2 linked regions of the Drosophila melanogaster genome follow. The gene in region 1 interacts genetically with each later gene. Each region holds a gene or a part of one and is shown in the gene's direction. Other genes may lie near its edges.

Evidence for each region. A genetic interaction does not mean that the proteins touch.
Region 2: of Gen (region 1) and mus81, changing one enhances a phenotype caused by changing the other (phenotypic enhancement), as found in Drosophila melanogaster (one study listed by BioGRID).

The regions. Positions count from the first base shown.
Region 1 is NT_037436.4:5,148,752-5,155,106, reverse strand, and holds Gen (XPG-like endonuclease), read left to right. Parts: upstream 1-2,730; 5' UTR 2,731-2,805; coding exon 2,806-2,963; intron 2,964-3,030; coding exon 3,031-3,337; intron 3,338-3,402; coding exon 3,403-3,692; intron 3,693-3,760; coding exon 3,761-3,928; intron 3,929-3,983; coding exon 3,984-5,241; 3' UTR 5,242-5,258; downstream 5,259-6,355. Other genes in the region: Srp54k (signal recognition particle 54k), read right to left, coding at 650-1,258, 1,344-2,261; AlaRS-m (Alanyl-tRNA synthetase, mitochondrial), read right to left, coding at 5,352-5,754, 5,809-6,029, 6,092-6,355. UniProt on the Drosophila melanogaster protein: Endonuclease which cleaves flap structures at the junction between single-stranded DNA and double-stranded DNA. Specific for 5'-overhanging flap structures in which the 5'-upstream of the flap is completely double-stranded.
Region 2 is NC_004354.4:938,769-943,751, forward strand, and holds mus81 (mus81), read left to right. Parts: upstream 1-2,306; 5' UTR 2,307-2,425; coding exon 2,426-3,706; 3' UTR 3,707-3,838; coding exon of another isoform or gene 3,839-4,028; 3' UTR 4,029-4,461; downstream 4,462-4,983. Other genes in the region: CG3704 (uncharacterized protein), read right to left, coding at 696-908, 965-1,318, 1,384-1,965; CG3703 (uncharacterized protein), read right to left, coding at 3,839-4,028, 4,534-4,983.

The DNA.
Region 1 (6,355 bases):
AATAATCCACTATGATAACCCATTATGATTCAGACAAATAAAAATAAATTTCTGTCAGGTTTTTTTTTTTGAGTGTACAACCCCACTAGGCATACATTTGAGTATGTGTACAGACCCTCCCCCAAAAACAGCATTAACAATTTGCCCGCCAGCCTGTTTGTTTATTTTGGTTTCCTTGCTGCGTTGGCATCCTTTCGATCTTTCTGGGCACCTGTTCGCAACTTGTTTTTTGTTTTAGTTGTATGTGTTAGGTCAACAGGGTGACTGGATTTCTGCTTTTCGTTGCCCGAGATTAAACCCAATAAACACAACCAATTTAAAGCCAAGTTCATATATTAATTATTTATTGTTTATATCTAGTTCAATTGCCTTACTGGTATTCTGATAGGCATGCTAATTCCATTAGTTCGTGTACAGAAAACTGTTTAAACTATAAAAACTGACACTGTGGCTGCCAAGCCGTACAAAAACCGAATTTGTTAACTGTTTGCACATCTATATGGGCTTTATAGGCTATATACGCTATATTCGCTTCCACAACGCGTATCAATTTTTGTGGCCTTGGACAAATGGAAACAAATGGCTAACAAATTACGAACTACGCGAAAACAAAATCATATAAAAATCGTTAAATTTACACGCCACCTGCTCACTTGCCACCAAAACCGCTCATCAGGTTCCCCAGGCCACCCAAACCACCCGCAGCTCCTTGCTGCAGTTGCCTCATCATATTTTGGATACCACCAACGCCGCCCATCTGTTGCAGCATCCGGGGATCGATCATCTTCGCTATCTGCTGGTTGAGCTTGGCCATCTGTGTTGGATTCACATTCTTGGTCATGTCGCCCTGCTTGAACAGTCCCTTAACGCCGCCCATCTTCTTTACTACCGCCGAAAATTTCGTATAGTGTGCAATCAGTTCCTTGACCTCGCGCTCCATGACACCAGCTCCCTGGGCCACACGAACGCAGCGGTTTGGCTGCTTGCTAAAGAGCTTTGCTCCGTCGCGATTGTCCAGTTCATTATCCGACATACTGTCCATCATCGTCATCATACGCTTAACGCGCGCCATCGACTCCTGTTCGCCGCCCTTGGTCATAAAGTCCTGCGAGAAACCGGGTATCATGTTCATGAACTGGGAGAAGGGGCCCATCTTCATGATGTTCTGGAACTGCTCGTACATGTCGCGGATGGTGAAATGACCGTGCTTGATCTTTTCTAACAGCTCATCGTTTCCGTCTAGCTTCAGCTCGTTTACCTGTGCAAAATGAGTTTATATTCAGTACGTGTTTTCAATTGTATTGTAGTGCGGTATAATTTTAAGCTCGTGTGGCATGTCTCACCTTATCTATCAGTCCTTCGATGTCACCCATTCCAAGCAGTTTGCTCACGAAGGGTTTCGTCTTGAAGGGCTCCAGATCGTCGATGTGCTCGCCCGTACCGATGAAGATGATGGGCGACTGTGTGGCTGCCACTGCGGACAGAGCTCCGCCTCCCTTGGCGTGGCCATCCAACTTGGTTATGATCACCGAACCGATGTCCACCTTGTCTTTGAAGGCTTTCGCTTGAGCCTCGCAAGCCTGTCCGATGGTGGCGTCCATCACGAAGATTATGTTGTCGGGACTGACGGCATTGGACACTGCCAACATCTCCTCGAACAGTGATTCCTCCTGCTTGTGCCGACCCGAGGTGTCCACAATGATCATCTCGAAACCCTCGCGTTTGAACATATCCACACCGTCCTGGGCAATGACCACGGGATCGATTTCCGTGTAGCTGCCGTAGAACGGAATGCGCGCCTTGGTGGCGTTCTGCTTGACCTGATCGTAGGCACCAGCACGGAAGGTATCCGCGCACACGAGACACGACTTCCAGTTGCGCTTCTGGTAGTGATAGGCCAGCTTGGTACAGGTGGTGGTCTTACCGGAGCCCTGCAGACCCACAAACATGACCACATTGGCCTTGCCCTTGATGGGTTGGTAGGGTTTCACGCCGGGATCGACCAGTTTGACGAGCTCCTTGAACACAGCCGATTGGATCATTCGCCTCTTGTTCAGGCCACCGGCCATCTCATCGAAATCAATAACGGCACGCACATTCTCGCGCAGCTGCTTAACCAGTCGGATATTCACATCAGCCTCCAGGAGCGCTGCGCAGATCTCCTTCAGCATGGAATTCAGTGCCTCCTCATTGATTACGGTCGCCTTGCTGAGCGAGTGCAGCGCCGTTGTTATCTTGCGACCCAAATCCGCGAGAACCATCTTGCCGGTGGTGGTTGTGTGTGGTTTGGCGTACGGACGACTGGCAGCTTCTGAATTTTGTCGGGCCTACTCGCAAAGGGGCAGCTTCAATTCAATATTTTATTTCGACTTTCTTTTGGCTGACACGACACGTCGACGTGGAAGAAGAAGAGACTGCTGACCACTGGCCATTCGCAGCGGTCGCTTGTGCAGCTGTCAAAACAAAGCCCGCTATCGGTTATCGAGCATGCTTCGCAGTGACTGGCGGAAGTCGCAGTGCTGTCAAATGTAGCTAGAGACAAGCTCAAAAAAAGCTAAAAACGAAATGTGTTCTTAAAATCGAATAAGATGACATTTATATGTATAATATTTGTTATTGAAAATAGCATCATGTATTATTGTTAAAAAAGTTATCATTGCCAATTATTGTCACAACTTTGCACTTGGCTGCTTTTGAATATAGCTTCAAGTAGCTAGAAAGTAACTGATTGGGCAACTCTGACGAAGAAGCGATTGTTTAAATTTGTTGCGAATTTCTCGCGGGGTTTTTGTTTAGCTTATTTAAATGGGCGTCAAGGAATTATGGGGTGTTTTAACGCCCCATTGTGAACGTAAACCCATTAATGAACTGCGGGGAAAGAAAGTGGCCATCGACCTGGCCGGCTGGGTGTGCGAATCTCTTAATGTTGTGGACTACTTTGTGCATCCAAGGCATCATTTAAAGTAGGTTTAAAAAATTCTTAATACCTTATATTCTTTTAAAATATTAATATTTACGCTTTACCAACAGGAACCTCTTCTTTCGCACTTGCTACTTGATTTGGGAGCAAGTTACTCCGGTTTTCGTTTTGGAGGGAGTTGCTCCAAAACTCAAGAGCCAGGTGATAGCCAAAAGGAATGAGCTCCAGTTTCGGGGAGTGAAGCCCAAGAATTCGCCTGAGTGCACCCAAAGTCAGCCGTCCAAGGGCGACAAGGGACGCAGCCGGTTCAACCATGTTCTCAAGCAGTGCGAAACGCTGCTGCTCTCCATGGGAATCCAGTGCGTCCAAGGTCCCGGCGAGGCGGAGGCCTACTGTGCCTTTCTCAACAAGCATGGCGTACGTATATCAACTACATCCTCACAAGAACTCTGTACCAAATCCGATTATATTCCTGTCCGCAGCTAGTGGACGGCGTCATTAGCCAGGACTCGGATTGCTTTGCCTATGGAGCCGTTCGTGTCTATCGCAACTTCTCCGTTTCCACCCAAGGAGCCCAGGCAGCCGCCGGCGGAGCTGTGGACATCTACGACATGCGGGAGATCACATCCCGAATGGACTTTGGCCAACAGAAGATCATTGTGATGGCTTTGCTCTGCGGCTGTGATTATTGTCCTGATGGCATAGGTGGCATTGGCAAGGATGGCGTCCTAAAGCTGTTCAACAAGTACAAGGAGACTGAGATTTTGGATAGGTAGTCTACTACATTGTTACATATATTATATTTTTAAAGCTAATAAGCTTTGATTATTATTTCTGCAGAATGAGAAGCTGGCGTGGTGAAACCGATAAATACAATGCCTTGGAGATCCGAGTGGACGACAAATCCATCTGCAGCAATTGTGGCCACATTGGCAAGACCCAGAGCCACACAAAAAGTGGCTGCAGTGTGTGTCGCACACACAAAGGCTGCGATGAGAGTCTCTGGAAGTGAGCTATTTCCTAAAACTAATATAAACATTTGTTTATTAAACTCTTCCCTTAGAGAACAACGACTATCCATTAAGTCCGAGTTGACTTTGAGGCGGAAAGCCCTATTATCTCCTGACTTTCCCAACGAAGAGATCATTGCCGAGTTTCTCAGCGAACCCGACACCATTCCCAATCTAAATCTCAACTGGCGGCAACCAAATCTTGTCAAATTCATCAAACAAATCGGACATCTCTTGCAGTGGCCAGAAATATACTGCTTCCAAAAGTTCTTTCCCATACTCACACGCTGGCAGGTGCAGCAATCGAAGCAGGAGAAGATACTTATCCAGCCACACGAGATTATCAAAAAGCGAACTGTGAAGGGTGTGCCCAGCTTAGAATTGCGCTGGCACGATCCCAGTGGCATCTTCAAGGGTCTTATTCCGGACAAGCAGATTGCGGAGTACGAAGCGGAGCATCCCAAGGGAATCGAGGAACTTTACTACACCATTGAGCCATTGGACATGCTGGAGACAGCGTATCCCGATTTAGTAGCGGCCTTTTTGAAGTCGAAGGAGAAGCCCGCCAAGAAAACCACGCGAAAGAAGAAAACCGCATCTGAAGAGGAGAATAAGGAAAACGAGCCGAATTCGAAACCAAAGCGAGTGGTCAGAAAGATAAAGGCTCAGCCTGAAGAGAACCAGCCATTACTGCACCAATTCCTAGGGCGCAAGAAGGAAGGTACTCCGGTCAAGGCTCCCGCTCCGCAACGTCAGCAATGCTCCACCCCCATCACCAAGTTCCTGCCCTCCGATCTGGAAAGCGATTGCGATGCCGAAGAGTTCGATATGTCGGACATAGTTAAAGGCATTATCTCGAATCCGAATGCCAAGCCAGCACTGACCAACCACGATGGTCACCAGCTTCATTACGAACCCATGGCGGAAGATTTGAGCTTACGTCTGGCGCAGATGAGTCTAGGAAATGTGAATGAATCGCCCAAAGTGGAAACGAAAAGAGATCTCTCTCAAGTGGATCAACTACCGCAGAGTAAGCGATTCTCCTTGGAGGACAGTTTTGATCTGCTGGTCAAGGGAGATCTGCAGAAGCTGGCCAGGACGCCAGTGGAGCGATTCAAGATGCAGCATCGCATCAGCGAAAAGATTCCAACGCCAGTGAAGCCCTTGGATAACATAAGTTACTTCTTCAATCAAAGTTCCGATAATGCGGATGTCTTTGAAGAGTTGATGAACTCCAGCTTGGTGCCCCAGGATCAAGAGGATAACGCAGAAGATGAGGAGGAGGATGACCTGGTAGTGATTAGTGATTAAAGATTCTGAAATTCCTTAAAACTTCGCCATTTACTCGCTCCTCACATGAGCAATTATTCAAAGGGCAAGCTTACAGCTAGCACATTTTGGAGGGTAATCACAACTTATACCTATAGATAAAGCTTAGCGTATGCATGTGCCTTGGACATTGCCTGCTCCAACTGTTCCTCGAACAGATTGCTCACCCGTCGACCCTTCATGTTGCACACGGCCTGCGGATTTTGGCCCTTGGGCGCGGCTATTTGTCCATTAAAGGTGTCGGCAAAGGATTGCAGCCAGGCGGAAGCGTTGAATTTCTCCGTGATACACTTTTCTGGTACACAACAGCGAGCCTTGACCACGCTATCACACACGCTGATTACGAGGATGGGCCGATCCGGGCACAGCTTGGTGGCTCGTTGCAAAGGAATCTCCTCCACGAGCGCGGAACTGGTGATGTAGTGCAGAATGAAGGGGTGTGTGTCCAACGGCTTCTCCTGCAGCAGCGTGCGCATCTCTACGTCCACAAATTCTCTGAAAATGTAGAGTTTAGAAATGGAGCACATTACTTTAATAAGTTAAACTTACTTTAAGGTTGTGCGCGATGAATCTTTTATTCTCTTCAGCATCTCGGTGATGCGTTCCAGCGTGTCCATCTTAAAAGCGTATGGCAGTTTAATGTCCGTGTGCAACATGTTGTGCCGAATCGTCTGCAGTTCCGCCTCCGTAGCGTTTGTGAGTTTGTCAGTTTGGAACTGCTTCTCGAGGAGATCAACGCGGTGTCGCAGCAGGGCAGCCGTTTTCAGCACCTATTTGGAACAGAGTAAGAAGATTAAATGACTAGTCTAAGGCGATATATAAGTCCACTCACATTTTCCGCCGCCTGGCCAGCAACGGCGGTAAATGCGAATCTCGCACGATTGGTTTGCTTGAGATTCACGATGCAGAAGCACGAAAGCTCACTGGTGTTGGTTGCATGCGTTCCGCAGCACAGTTCCTTGGAGCTCAGCTGCAGTTCAGGACTCTCCACGTTGACTAGACGCAATCCCTGCTCAGGATAAACCTCGCCGGGCACCATTGTGATGTCATTCTGCTCCAGAACTTCAGCTGCACTCAGCAATTGAACTTCAACCGG
Region 2 (4,983 bases), on another chromosome or scaffold:
CGTCCAGAGATATGAATATTTTTTTGCAAGCGACTACACCTAATTTGCAGCACAGGCAGGCGGGGATGGGGATGGGGATGCAAGTCCGTCTTGGCCCAAAACGCTTGGCGATTCGATTCGATTCGATTCAGATGGGACAGTTGGGCAGTGAGCAGTAGGGCGGTGAGAAACCGTAGCGGGGGACTACTGTTCGTCTATATAAACTGTGTATAACTGTGAGGCATTGACAAGTATTTGAGATGATCTGTATTTTTGTAAGCGTAATATTTAAAGCGGCAGCCAATAACGAGACAACCAAATCCAGAGAAGCAACTATAAAGCGTAAGATATCGGGCGCAGCAGCCAACACACGCGACACACAATTTATTTGCTCAACGCAGTACACACCACACATGATACATACAGCATAAATGTAAATATATATATATTTATCTGCATACATATATATATATACAGAGTAAGTTACGCAAAGTATGAGGCTTGCATTTACATTTACGAGCGGGATATATCCTCCATATGTATATGTTATCACTAATTTGCAAAGCTAAACTAAGTCCATATATACAAACCAAATATCGGAGGTGCAAGTGACGAACACACACTATATTGAATGTTTTTGCTTGTTAAAGTAAATAATAAAAATGAAAACTCGAAATCACGAAATCCATAGCCATCGAGGATCACAATCCGCCCATTTACGGCTGAGCCTGTTCCTGTTCCTGCTGCAGTTTGTCCCGCTTGCTCTGCTGGGCAGTCAGGTGGTTCTGCACGAAGCTGTGGAAGTTTTGTTCTTCGGCGGTGCCCTTCGCGTCCTCCTCCATCTCCTCCTCGTCTTCGATTTCCGCCGACTCGGGCACCAGACTAGGTGCCATTAGGAAAATGCTGTTTCCAGTGTGCGGCGGTGGGTCCTGAAATAGTTAAGACCCTGCAGTGGGTGCACAAATAGCCGAGGAACTGTTCCTACCTGAAGCGACAATCCCAGGGGAACGGCATGGCCGTCCTCTTCCACATGATCCACTGGCTTTGGACCCGTCGCACTCTCCGCCAGTCGCTCTTGGCGCTTCTTTTCGTAAACAGGCTTGTAGTCCGTCTCGTACTCGTCCACGCTTTCGAGAATCTTCGTCAGTAGCTGGGTGAAGCCTACGCCTGTCTTGGCCGAGACGCCGCACGTTCTTAGATTCTCGTAGAAGGTGTCCAGGGTGAGCGACATGGTGCGCGTGAGGTTGCTCACGAAGCTGTGCTCCTCCTCCTGGGCCTCCTGGAAGGCCTCGAAGTCTGTCATCCAATCCATCACAAATCCGCAGTCCTTTAGGTCGATCTGTTTGAAGCGGAAAAGAAGTTTTCTATACATCTGGATATCTGGGTTGCCGGGAAAGTCGTTACCTTGTTCAGCGCCACAAGGAAGGGCAAACGGGTCTTGTACAGGATGGAGCAGGCGTACAGCATGTTGGACATGAAGGTGGTAGGGCAAGCACTGCGCTCCACATCCATTACATAGACCACAATGGTGGGAAACATGGTGGCCAGTCCCTCGGTTATGATGCTCCCGGAAGCCGACCAGTTAAACACCTCGATCTGTCCGGGCGTGTCGATCACACACCACTTGTGTCCGCGCTCGCCAGCGCGACGCACTAGCTCCGCAAACTGTGCCATTTTGGTGGTGAACATATTGAGCGCGGTCACAATGCCACCGTTGGGACCCAGTTGGTACTGCTTCATCACCTCCCGGTAGTTGACCGTGTCCCGTATGTCCACGTGCGCCGCGTACGGTACTTCCCTGCACGCCGGATCCAGGTTGACCACGTACGGATTGAACTTCTCCTGGGCGTGCTGGATGAGCTTCTGTGTGAACGTGGTCTTCCCGCTGCCGGCCATTCCCAGCACCAGTATGCACACGGGCGACTCCCGGATTCCCTCGCTCAGCGACAGCGCCTCCAGCTTGATGCTCTCCACTCCCTCTGCCATTTCTCTCACGGCTTCACTAAGAATCAAAACAAAAACAGGAGGCGCAAAAACAAGCGTGCAGAGGCAGTGTGACCGTCCTATGGAAAGTGTGCTCTTTGCGCCGCCTGAATTCGCTTCAGATACCAACAAACATCAGCTGTTGTTGCTGCTTTTTATCCTGCGTGGAAACATGTCGGCCATTACATAGTTAACACACTCCCTTAATCGCAGCAGCCTTCGTGGAATCACACATCTTCAGTTTTGCCAGTTCAGTTTTTGCTTGCCCGCCAAAAAAACAAATCAAAAAAAAATACCGAAGAGTTTAGAACATACCGTATATATCGAAAGCCATAATAAGCTTTAAACTAGTTGTACAGTAATAAAAATGCCACCACCAGAAGCCGGCAATTGAAGCGCGTTTATTTGCCGTGCATTAGTTTTATTATTTGGCATTGTTTTACATAATAAAAGTTGTGAAGCAATGGAGACCCGACTGGAAGTGCTCTTGCGGGAGCCGAATCCATTGTTCACCCGTTGGCTGGAGCGCTGGCTGCGCGAAGCGGAGCGCCGAGAACAGAAGTCCCAGTTTAGCCTGCGCCAGGCGTTGGAGTCCCTAAAAAGCTACCCTCTGCCATTGGCCAGCGGACGAGACTGTTCCATTCTGCGCGGCTTTGGGGGCACCCTCTGCCAGCTAATCGACGAGGAACTTCGCCATCACAGAGGCCTCCAATTGCTGCCACAGGAGGCCGTGGTTCAGGAGCGCTACGAGCAGCAGGTCCAGGCGGTAGTACGCAAGGTTCAGGAGAAGCAGCTGGAACACCAGAAACGCCAGAATAAATGCGACAGGCCCAGGAAGCTAACCAAAAAAGATCTGGCGGAGCTGGCAGCCCTTGAAGAGCGGGAGCGCGTCGTGCGAATGAAACCAGGTCAATTCCAGTTACTCCTTTTGGTGGATACTCAGGAAACCAGTGGCAAAAACAAGAGAGTTCTGGACCAGACGAGGAGCTACTTGGAGTCCTTGGGAGCCCGTCATGAAGTGCGTCGCCTGACAATCGGCGATTTCCTTTGGGTGGCCCAGGATCAAGAGGGCAATGAACTGGTTTTACCCTACATTGTGGAGCGCAAGAGGATGGACGACCTGGCATCGAGTATTCGGGATGGTCGCTTCCACGAACAGAAGCACAGGCTGCAGCACTGCGGCCTGCAGCACATCATCTACCTGGTCGAGGACTATGGCGATAACGAGCAGCTGGGCCTTCCACTGGACTCCTTGCAGCAGGCTCTGACTAATGCCAAAGTTCAAACTGGTGTCCGAGTGGTGCGCACGGCGAATCATTACCGATCCATGAGCTATTTGGCCGGAATGAGTCGCACCCTTGGCCAGATATTCGCCGGCAAGAAGTTGCACAGCGTGGATCGCGGCGCCATCGACCAATCCACCTGCCTGCTCACGCATTCCGACCTGGGGTTGCTCAAGTTTCGGGCCCTATATGAGGATTCCGCAAAGAATGCCCAGCTCACAGTGCGCGAGGTTTTCGTGCAACAGTTGCTACAGCTGCATTCCCTTTCCCTCGAACGCGCCATGGCTATTGTGGAAAGATACCCCACTCCACGCTGGCTGCTGGACGCATACGCGGAGTGTGCAGACCAAAAGCAGGCCAGGCTACTCCTCGCCAGCATCCCGTGTGGACCCCTGGAACGTCCACTGGGCGACAAGATCAGCCAGTGCCTACACGAATTCTACAGCACGCACTTTCGTTAGGATTAGCAATTGATTTTATGGGACATATCTAAGGTTATATACACGAGTTTATACATAAGTGAGAGAGAGAATACGTTGGACATTGAATAGTGTGATCTAGTCTAAGCCAAAAAATGTACAAGTCAGCCGCCCTTAGATGTTGCGGAAGTGCCGGATGGCCAGGTCCACCGGCAGGTCGAAGTCAAATCGAGAAAGAGCATCGATGGAGCGCAGTGAGTCGCGGAATCCGGTGCGGGCCACGTAGCTGTCTGCTGAGTAGTACGTGTCCACCAGTTCATGGCAGCTGAGGATCAGGTTCAGCCACTCCACCAGCAAATGGGAACTGTTTGAAGGAAGAGAAAAGCATTTCGAATGAAAGAAGTGTGATAAAAGCCAAGGTAAAGGTCTATCCCCGCGTCCCTGTTAGCCTTATGCTTAAATTAATTCGGCAGACTGCAAAGTCAAAAGCTACCTGCACCTAGCTAAATATATTAATATTTACATATTTATATTTACATGTTAAAGCAAAAAATCGATTAAGCAATTCATTGATAAAAAAGTTTAAGACAGTAGAGAATTGACATTACCGCAGAATTGCTGATAATTGCAGTAAGAATATTTTGATTTTGGACACTTGTAATTATAAAAAGTTTGTGTGTCTCTTGCTCTTTAAGATTCCTCTTTGCCAGGAAAATAACTATAAAATGAAGATTTGAAGATGTAAAAGGCTAGTGCTTCAAACTATGCACCTGTAAATAATATGGTATTGCAAAGTTATGCGGCTTGTAAATTCATCTTAACTAACATTCCTTCGATTTCCCAGCGTTTAGCCCATGTAAATAACTCACTTGAGTCCGGCGCAGACGAAGGCTTTAAAGTGCGCGTTGTTACTCCGTTTGTATGGACGATGCATTGCCAGAATCATGCCCACGGCGCTGAGCAAACTTTGCTTGGCGGTCACAGCCTGCGCGTCCACGATGTCCAGCTGGAAGCTCTGCGACAACTTTCTGGCAGGCGTGTTGTTGTACTCCTCGCCGTGTTTCAACCTATAATAGGCTAGTACTAGTTCCCAGGCGTGCATGGCCCTGCCCAAGCCGAGGAACTGCGAGTCTCCTCCGACGGCGGGCGGCACTACCGGAGGCCCAGGGTGCAGGCACCTCATGAAGGGAACCATCAAACTGGAGGCAGCCGATTCCGCTGGTATGCGAAGTCCGTGTTGTATAAGCTGCTGCAATGTGCGGGCAAAGTTCTTCCGCACAACCGTAGTCAATTCCCTGCCAATAGTGGCAATGGAATCA